3 linked regions of the Xenopus tropicalis genome follow. The protein of the gene in region 1 interacts with the protein of each later gene in a biochemical or structural test. Links are inferred from orthologs where the notes say so. Each region holds a gene or a part of one and is shown on either strand. Other genes may lie near its edges.

Region 1 (3,659 bases):
GGGAACATTCCAGGCATATGAATAAAAATATATAAAAATGAAATGTCCCAATTTTACAGAAGGCACTAGCGTGTTCCTCATACCTGAATGGTGTGGACAGCACAGTGTTGGGCGTCTGTACCACTTGTCTTTGAGGTGTAACTCCTGAAAAATCGCTTTCGTGAAGAGGAGTGTTGAGACCTCCCTTTAATGGTGTATCCACATTGGTGAGGGCCATCAGATTCTGCGCTTCCTGTAAGGTACAAAAATAGGGGGTGGGTGCAGAGAAAGGCACTTTGAGCTATAATGCACGCTTTGTAGAACTCAGAACTAGTAGCAGATGAGTTTCAGTCAGTTTCTTCTAATTCCTTTATCGCTGTGCGCACATTGTAAACTTATGTGACCATTTTTTAAAAAAAGTCCCCAATTTCCTGTCTGTTTGGTGGGGTTTTGGACAGAAGGTCCTCAATTTCCTGTCTGTTTGGTGGGGTTTTGGACAGAAGGTCCTCAATTTTCTGTCTGTTTGGTCGTGTTTTGGACAGAAGGTCCTCAATTTCCTGTGTGTGTGGACAGCCTGCAGGCAACCTGTCTGGGTACCCAGCAAAAGTGCGGGAGTGAGTTCCCCTGGGGATGCTGGTCTGGCTGGGTGTGCCTGACTGGACCTTTGCAGTACTTTAGCAATGGCTATAGATTTACAGCAGGAAAGGGGAATTATATCTTGGAAGTACAGTTTTGGTCCACAGTAATCAAAAAATGGCATTAGTGAAACAGAGAAAATCCAGAAAAGATAAAGTAAGTTAATATAGGGTATGTAAAGTCCAAGTTGTTGAACAAAGGTTGGCCAATTGTGCTGGTTTACACCAAATATGGGACCCATTATCCGGAAACCCATTATCCAGAAAGATTCACATTCACAATATTTCACATTTTTAAAAAATATTTAATTTCTCTGTAATAATAAAACAGTACCTGTACTTGATACCAACTAAGATATAATTACCCCCTATTGGGGGCAGAACAGCCCTATTGGGTTTATTTCATGGTTAAATGATTCCCTTTTCTCTGTAATAATACAACAATACCTGTACTTGATCCCAACTAAGATATAATTACCCCTTATTGGGGGCAGAACAGCCCTATTGGGTTTATTTAATGGTTAAATGATTCCCTTTTCTCTGTAATAATAAAACAGTACCTGTACTTGATCCCAACTAAGATATAATTACCCCTTATTGGGGGCAGAACAGCCCTATTGGGTTTAATGGTTAAATTATTCCCTTTTCTCTGTAATAATAAAACAGTACCTGTACTTGATCCCAACTAAGATATAATTATCCCTTATTGGGGGCAGAACAGCCCTATTGGGTTTATTTAATGGTTAAATGATTTTTTAGCAGACTTAAGGTATGGAGATCCAAATTACGAAAAGATCCCTTATCCAGAACACCCCAGGTCCCGAGCATTCAGGATAACAGGTCCCATACCTGTATATTAAATTACACTATCTCCTGGTGAAAGCCATGGGACAAAAGTGCATCCCTTCAGACCAGAAGAAAGGTGGTTTTATCTTAAGGAGGGAAAAGAGTTCAGAAGAATAAAAAGAAAAAAAGAAGGCAAGGAACAAAAAAATTCTACAAAATAACAGAACTGAATATAATTTAGAAACATTGCACCCGTCACAGCGTGGAAGCACCCATGTACCTGCAGTATGCGGTCCTGCGCGGCTGGTGTCTTGGGCGTCCTGAGGGCCACACTATTATTGGCGACATTGTATTCCGACAGTAACGTGCTGGAAGCGGAATTGGTTATACCCGACTCCTCTGCCGTCTGACGAGCTATTTCACTCGCTTGCCCGATCTTTACCACTTCTTCCAGTTCAGCATCTGAAATCTAATGCAACAGGAGAAAGTGTCATTCCGGGGCATGTTTCTCGCCACACGTATTTATCATTGAAAACACAAGGTGGGTTACACACAACACATTCCTTAGAGATTCCCTATAGATTGGCCAATTCTAAGCAACTTTGCAGTTGGTCGATAGTTTTTGAATAATGTGCCACCTTCTTCTGACACTTTCCAGCTTTAAATGGGGGTCACTGACCCCGGAAGCCACTACTGAGAACTAGTGCTCTGTGAGGCTACAATTTATTGTTACTTTTTTTACTATTCAGGTTCCCTCTTATTGATATATCAGTCTCATATTCAAAACCCTCCCTGGTTGCTAAGGTAAGTTACACCCTGGCAACCAGATAACTGCTGAAACCCCAAACTGGAAAACTGCTGAACAGAAATTCAAAACATTAAAAAACTACAAATAAAAATTAAGACCAATTGCAAATTGTCTCAGAATATTACGCTCTACATCATACTAAACGTTAACTCAAAGAACAACCCCTTTGGGATGGGTAGTGCTTTTCTGACTGCTGCATTGGCCCCAATTATTTCCCAAGAATCACCTGCACCCCAGGAATTAAGTACTTCCAAATGTAACTCTATTTCCATTACATTAAAAAAACAAAGAATAATGTCCCTAATACATATGGAACAGTTTATGGAGTCTTTGTTTTATCAGGAGTTTCTGCACAGTTAATGAAAGATGTATCATTTATTTTCTTTTTAAACAACTAAAAGTAAAACTTGCCATAAAATTGGCATGCCAAGTGCCCCACCCACCAATCCCGCATTCCACTGCCAGCCTTGAGATTTTAAGTAATTCCCAAAGTTGCAAAGCTGCCATATACTTGCACTGAAACGTCACCTAAAGCTAGCTAGGCATGTAATGTCTGCTGGTCATTTGGCCCCGACCAACATCAGATTATAATTACTGCCTATGCAAATACGTCCCGATAGCTATCTGGTAAATTTTAAGTTAGCTATCAGACGGGCTGTTTAAACACTGCATGGCCAAAAAACTGCCAACTTGTTCTGCAAGGGCCAAATTAGCAGCTAATATCTGTCCAATAAGGGTGAAGACACACAGAGCTACTAGTAGCTGCTACTTTTTCATGGCTACTAAACCCCAGAAAATACCCTGCCATAGACAATACTGAGACAGTTATCAGTAAATGATCGGCATTGTCTATTTTAGTAGCTGCTACTAGAAGCTCTGTGTGTCTTCGCCCTTAAATGCACTGATCAACCAGCTTGGTAACTAGGATATTACCTATAGGAAACTGTTTTAAGGCTATTTTTTTAAAATGTTTACGGTGTCTGATCACTAAAGCAGGGATTAAGTTAGAAAAGAGTGAGGTCCTGGCAATGGAGAAGGATTACATAAACTATCTACAGTGGAGGAAATAATTATTTGACCCCTCACTGATTTTGTAAGTTTGTCCAATGACAAAGAAATGAAAAGTCTCAGAACAGTATCATTTCAATGGTAGGTTTATTTTAACAGTGGCAGATAGCACATCAAAAGGAAAATCGAAAAAATAACTTTAAATAAAAGATAGCAACTGATTTGCATTTCATTGAGTGAAATAAGTTTTTGAACCCTCTAACAAAAAAAGACTTAATACTTAGTGGAAAAACCCTTGTTTGCAAGCACAGAGGTCAAACGTTTCTTGTAATTGATGACCAAGTTTGTGATTGATTCTGTGGACAGGTGTCTTTTATACAGGTGACTAGTTAAGACAGGTGTCCTTAATGAGGTTGACTAATTGAGTAGAAGTGTCTAACCAC
Region 2 (3,659 bases), on another chromosome or scaffold:
TATATACACACTAAGATATAAATAATCCTTATTGGATGGAAAATAATCCTATTGGGTTTAATTAATGGTTTATTGATTTTTTTAGTAGGCTTATGGTATGGAGACCTAAATTACGGAAAGACCCCTTATCCGGAATACCCTTGGTCCCGAGTATTCTGGATAACGGGTCCTATACCTGTATATATATATATATATATATATATATATATATATACCTATATATACCTATATATACCTATATATACCTATATATACCTATATATATATATATATATATATATATATACCTATATATATATATATATATATATATATATATATATATATATATATATATATATATATATATATATATATATATATATATATATAATCAGCTGTCTTATGGACAACCATAATTATGTAAAACGAAATTTTTAAAAAAAACTGTCCCATACAGCAAAATGTGTGTGAATAGTTAACTATGTACAAAATCTGTTAACTACAAAGGTAGCCTTACAGGTTCAAAATATGGATAAACACCAATAACATAATACACCCATGAATCACAGCTACAGATCAAGAAAAATATTAGGTCAGAGTAATAATATTATTGTTATTCTTTATATCAGTGCTGTCCAACTTCTGTGATACCGAGGGCCGGAATTTTTCCGACCTACGTGGTGGAGGGCCGATAATGGAAGCCAGTTTTGACCACTCCCCTTTTTGAAACCGCACCCACTTGAAACCATACCCATATTAATAGTTGTAGTACAGCAAAAACCTGCCATTCTCTGCCTTCCCTACTCTGCCTGTGTGTGCCATACTCTGCCTTCCCTACCCTGCCTGTGTGTGTGTGTGCCATACTCTGCCTGCCCTACCCTGCCTGAGTGTGCCATACTCTGCCTTCCCTACCCTGCCTGTGTGTGCCATACTCTGCCTGCCCTACCCTGCCTGAGTGCCTGTGTGTGCCATACTCTGCCTGCCCTACCCTGCCGGAGTGTGCCATACTCTGCCTTCCCTACCCTGCCTGCGTGTGCCATACTTTGACTGTGTGCGCCATTCTTGGCTGGTTTGTGCCATACTTGGCCTGTGTGTGCCATACTCTGCCTGCCCTACCCTGCCTGTGTGTGCCATACTCTGCCTGCCCTACCCTGCCTGTGTGTGCCATACTCTGCCTGCCCTATGCTGCCTGTGTGTGCCATACTCTGCCTGCCCTATGCTGCCTGTGTGTGCCATACTCTGCCTGTCCTATGCTGCCTGTGTGTGCCATACTCTGCTTGCCCTGGCACACACAGCCAGCATACAGTGACAATGCTGGCACTGCTCCTACAGTCTGTACAATAACTATATATTAAAAAACTTTTTAATTGCAGTACCACCTCAGTATATGTTCTTTTTGTAGTGTGCATGGGTTATTTGTGGGTTTCTACTGCTCCTACAGTCTTGTCTGAGGTGTGAACAGGGGAACAATGTGGGTGATTACAGTCTGAGCCTGAGGTGTGAACACTGCAGGGGGTGGACAATGCAGAGATTAAAAGGTGTGAACAACACAGGGGATTACATATTTAAACAATACAGCCTGATTACAGCCTGAATCTGAGGTGTGAGCAATGCAGGGGCCAGTTAATCACAGTACTGATACCATTTAAAGCTTACACAAGAGTAAGCCATCAAAGCAGCCAGACAGGTGGGGGGCCACACAGAGGGGGTTCGCGGGCCGCCAGTTGGACAGCACTGCTTTATATGATATATATTATTCATAAGCTAGTGATTTTCAAAGCCATCCAGAAAACAAACAAAATATGTAAGTAGACTGAATGCCTGTATTTGCTAACTAAGCCTAGAAACTCTACTCATTTGTGTAATTAAAAAAAGTTTTAAACCAATGACATCTCTTCAGAAAACTAATTTGACAAACCACTGAACAAAATCATCATCCCTCAATAAAAACATAAAGAATGTTAATTAAGTGGGTGGGGAGATTTAGGGACCTTTGAAGTGTTAACCAATCTGTCCCTGACAGCTTCAAATATTGAAAGGGATTCTGGTCATGAGTTTTATGGTGTATTTTTTATTTCTAAATTACACTGTTTACATAGCAAATAATTCACTCTACCATGTAAATAAATTATTTTTAAGCCAATAAATTGTTTTTTTAGTTATAATATTGATGTGTAGGTAGCCATCTCAGTGCAATGCTACACATTAGAACTGCTTTTAGATAACATAATGTTTCTCCTATTTCATGTAACTGGAGGAGGAGTCACAATGCAGACTTGGATTTTTTACCATGGAGTGCTACTCTGATTACTACAGGTGTCAACTAACTGCTATCTTGCTACCTGCCCATTGTTCTATCTGCTGCTGGGGGCAATATCACTCCAACAGTAAAGAGTGTCAAGTCACATGGCTGTGGCACCTCATGTAGAATTTGTTGGCATAATAAAATGGATATCAATGCAGGATTCTGCTGGAGAAGCTCTATTAATTGATGCGTTTTAGAAAAAAACAAAACAAATATGTATTGTCCCCAAAAGGAATGTTTTGTACCAGGCTGGACCTGAACTTATTAAAGTCTATTTTGCTCTAGTAGTTAAAGTGTTTTCTTCTTTTCCCCCAACAATGTGGATGTAGTTGTATAACCATGGACATTTTTATTGGGGGTCTGAATTAGGTGTTGGCAGAACAGTACATTTAGGACCACAAAGTAGACACACTAAATCAGGTACATTTTATTATAGTTAGCTCCAAAAAACTGCTGAAGCCACAGGAATGATTCAAGCTAAGTTGAACCTCTGGGACAAGTAAAGCAATCAATAGAAGGAAAGTTTCATGTATGTCTTAAATTTGCCAAAAATGCATACCTGAGATGGGTGGAAAACAACACTGGTAACTTTCTTGGTATGACCTTTAAGAGTAGCAAGGATCTGTTGCGATAGTGCATCAAACACAACAACACTTTTGTCTGCCCCACCTACAAGACAAAAAGAAAAAGAGCAAAAACAAGAATAAATATTGCTCTCTGTGTTTCCACTAAAGACATTAATGACAAGCAGAAAGTGGGTAAAATCCTTACCAGTAAGAGTTTTGTTTGTGTCAGTTGGACACAAATCCAATGCCAAAATACCAGGGACACTTGCACTGTGCAGACCCTAAATAGATACACAGTGGTAATTAGAGGCATTTTTTACAGAATAATACAAAATTGAGTTTGTATATGGCCTCATGTTAAAAGGGATTTCTTTACTTACCATAAAATCCTTTTCACTCTAGTCCTATGGGGGACACAGGAACCATGGGGTTAACCCTTTAAGTGCCAGCAGAATTTGACATTTCAGTTCCCCTCAGTGCCAGACGTTTTGTAAACTTTCTGTGCTCTCTCAATTTAGGGGCTTTTACTGGGGGCAGGGTTAAGTTTAGGTAGGCAAACTATATATAGTTTTTTTCAGGAGAACCTGAGCTTTCCTAATCTACCTGAGTTTTTGTGTATTTCCACTTCAGGAACAAGATTTAGAGCTTGAAATACAAAAAAAAAAAAAAGAAAAAATGCTATTTTTCATGATAGAAGGATTTCTACCAGAAACATGTTTTATTTTATGGACAAAAATTCAACTGATTTGGAAAGCCTCATGTCTCCCGAACGTGCCAATACCTGATATGTACAGTTTTATTGAGAT
Region 3 (3,348 bases), on another chromosome or scaffold:
GGATAAGGGATCCCATACCTGTATAGTGAAGTGACACGAATCAGACAAAACCGAGGACCAGATTTGGATCAGTATTCTAAGCCTTCGCTTCACTGGGAGCTCTTGTTTGTCGACTATATGATTCAGAACCATCAACCATGTTATGTGGGAGTCAAAAGGAGACCCCATTTAATACGGTCTATAGTTGTTAGTACGCAAAATGCAGCACCAAGTTATCATTTGGCAGCTTGTTAGGAAAGGAGGATTAAAGGGAGAAGATATACTTGCAGCTAAAAATCAGTAATTTACAGAAAAGTCCCAGTGACACAGGCATGACGTAGCCCTTAGAATCTCCCTAGAAACTGCATTTTCAGAGGTTATATGTCCCCTGTCCCCCCGTCCCCAGCGAGCAATTATCAGACGCCTGCCATAAGATCAATAGCCTCCAGTTCTGGGAATCTTTAGGAGCGCTCCTATCGGCTGACAATAGCCATTCTGATATATCGATTGCATCCTTGCCGAGTTTTATCCGAGCGCCAGAGGTGCAGCCTGTCTCAAGTGTCTGCTCGATGGCTGCCTCTGCCAGTTATTGATCCGAAAGCCAAACAGGATCTTTTAAACAGCAGCGTCTGGCATTTGAGTGGCAGGGAAACAAGCCAATGAGCCAGTGCTTTATTCTTTACACTCAAAAGCATGTCATACAGTATCGGAATACAGGCCGTAAATATGATCAGACATAAGGCTTCACTTACTGTGACAGGAGTGTTAACCTACTCACTGCCCTTTGGGCAAGGGCACAGTAAATAGCAGCTAAAGCCTTACGGCTACAGGGAGTGATTTCCCATGCATAACCCCTACCAGCCAAAGATGTGATTCAGCAATCTTTTTAAAACACAGAAGGAGATGCAAATTATTATTACTGTACTTTATATAAAAATACCAAACATGGACATTTGGATGGCATCACCTTGGACTCACGTCAAAAGACAAAAAAAAAATGTAGCAGATGGACAGAGGGTGGGTTGCAGGAAAAAATGGCAAATCCAAATGTTAAAAGTTCTATTTACATATAGATCCTTCGGGGCAAGGTATTTAGGGTGCATTTGTAGGAGGCCGGTAGGTGTTATAGCGTCTCCAGCAGCTCCTGAATTCTCTTTTGCTCACTTTCCCGGAACTCTTCGCTCTTCCCATCACCAATGCTCTCAGAGTATTCTACAGGGTAAAAATAAGCAGGGAAATTAGATATGGAGAAAAAAAAAAGTGACAGCCCTCCCGATAAGAAAAACTGGCAAAGTAATGGAACAGATGCAGAAGAAGTTTCCTAGAAGGTCCCATATATTCCTTGTTGTCCCCACATATTTCTTACAGTCCCCATGTATCCCTTACTGTCAGCTAAGCACAGTACACCCACTCCCTTCCCTGTACTTTCCTCTATTGCTACATAAAACTCCCCCATTGTTCCATATAACCCATAGCTATAATTCCCCCATTGTTCCCTTACCCCCTTCCTTATAACTCCTCCTACTGCCCCATATTACACGCCTATCCACACTCACACCAGCCCCCTTGGTGCCTCCATTTTCCTCTTCCCTATAACCCCACCCTCTCAGTTCCATATAAACTTTACAGCCTCTCACTCACGTATCATATAACGTATCATATAATCCCCTGGCCCTTTGTTCCATATATTATATAAATAACCCTTAAAATCTGACAGAGGAAGTAGTAATGTAAAATGGGGAAAAGACAGTCCAGTACAGCATATGGGGATGTGGATCTCTTGAGTTAAAACTTACCTTTTAGAATATGTCTCATGATTTTCACAGAGCTTCCCCTCATGTTTAGAATTTGCAGCACTCTCTGGCGAATCTGGAATTAAAAGCACAAGAAAATGTGAGTGAAAGAGACAAGAAAGGGAAAGGAAATCCCATAACGTGTTGATCAAAAAGTAAGAAGTGGAACTGCAAGCAAGGAGAGAAGGTAGGAAGCAGCCATGGGAGGAATGCAAACAAAGCCAATTTAGCATGGATTAGGCAACAGGGGATAATAATAATTAAGTACCGGCCCACAGAAGGGAAGAACATAGGCCAATATCTCTATTAGCAACAGTTACTATATCTTATTGCTTAAACAATTATTGTGCCGCTACCCAACGCCAAGCGTATGCATCCATCTCTTCCTTAGATGATAAAAATCATCACCCCTGCTTAATAAAGCAGGCTATTGCATTTCATATAAAGATGGTTACACCCCATAAAGGTTTGGGGACCACTGCTGGAAGGCCATTTGAGCACTGGCAAACTAAAACTGAGGGATGGTGAAATTCTGATGGTTTAAATATCTGTGTAATTTGTAGCTGGATGAGGAGGCATCACTGCAATACGAAACACGGTGCTCCCTCCTAAGTATCTTATTCTCACTGTTTTCCTAAGTTTATCCAATATTCCTAAACTAATGTCCTACCACAGATTGTTCAAAGGGTTTCTCACCTTTAAATTAACTTTTAGTATGATGTAGAGTGTGCTATTCTGAGGCAATTTGTAATTGGTCTTTATTTTTTATTGCCTGTTTAATTGTTTAGTTTTTTTGTTCAGCAGCTATCTTGCTGCTAGGGTCCAATTTAACCTAGCAACCAGGCAGTGGTTTGAAAGAGAGGCAGGGATAGAATTAGAGAAGGGACTAAACAGAAAGATATGTAACACTACCAATAACATTGTAGCCTCACAGAGCAATAGTTTTGTTGGCTGCTGGGGCCAGTGACCCCCATTTGAAAGCCGGAAAGGTATACAAAATAAAACATGAAGACCAACTGAAAAGTTGCTAAGAATAGGACATTCCATTCTGTACTAAAAGTTAACCTGAAGATGAACAAGAGCTGGTGGGTTGCAGGATGGGCATACCTGCGGCAGGTTGTTGTTACAGATCTCCGCTGTGACGTAACACAGGAGCTGAAGCAGGAAGAGGCCGGCATCCAATCTTCGCAAGTAAAACTCCTCCTCGACATCATCATCTAAAATCTCCCCTCGGCGCACCATATCCTGCCAGCACAACATACTCCATTAAGGACAGGTGGCAAAACAAGGGAAATGGAAGTAAAAATATTTAAAGGAGAACTGAACCCTAATAATGAATAAGGCTACAAATGCCAAATATTTTATATACTTATTGCACCAGTTTAAAGATTCAGCATCTCTAGTTGTAATGACCTTCAGTTGCCCCAGAAGCTCCCCATCTTGGTTTCTGCTAGGAGTGTCAGCGACACTGCACATGCTCAGTGGGCTCTGGGGTGGCTGCTGAGAAGCTTAGCTTGGGTTATCACAAATCAAGCAGAAAATGAGGTTTGCTTATAGGGCTATTACAGTCTGACGC

The links.
Region 2: the proteins of cdc5l (region 1) and prpf19 form a complex in vitro, tested with the Homo sapiens proteins (2 studies listed by BioGRID, with this or other methods). The link is inferred for Xenopus tropicalis from reciprocal best matches to the Homo sapiens genes CDC5L and PRPF19.
Region 3: the proteins of cdc5l (region 1) and ctnnbl1 form a complex in vitro, tested with the Homo sapiens proteins (3 studies listed by BioGRID and IntAct, with this or other methods). The link is inferred for Xenopus tropicalis from reciprocal best matches to the Homo sapiens genes CDC5L and CTNNBL1.

Annotation. Positions count from the first base shown.
Region 1 is NC_030681.2:148,154,772-148,158,430, forward strand, and holds part of cdc5l (cell division cycle 5-like protein), read right to left. Parts: intron 1,870-3,659; coding exon 1,681-1,869; intron 233-1,680; coding exon 84-232; intron 1-83.
Region 2 is NC_030683.2:60,615,679-60,619,337, forward strand, and holds part of prpf19 (pre-mRNA-processing factor 19), read right to left. Parts: intron 3,135-3,659; coding exon 3,059-3,134; intron 2,957-3,058; coding exon 2,847-2,956; intron 1-2,846. UniProt on the Homo sapiens protein: Ubiquitin-protein ligase which is a core component of several complexes mainly involved pre-mRNA splicing and DNA repair. Required for pre-mRNA splicing as component of the spliceosome.
Region 3 is NC_030686.2:39,413,719-39,417,066, forward strand, and holds the end of ctnnbl1 (beta-catenin-like protein 1), read right to left. Parts: intron 3,018-3,348; coding exon 2,880-3,017; intron 1,849-2,879; coding exon 1,776-1,848; intron 1,192-1,775; coding exon 1,103-1,191; 3' UTR 637-1,102; downstream 1-636. UniProt on the Homo sapiens protein: Component of the PRP19-CDC5L complex that forms an integral part of the spliceosome and is required for activating pre-mRNA splicing.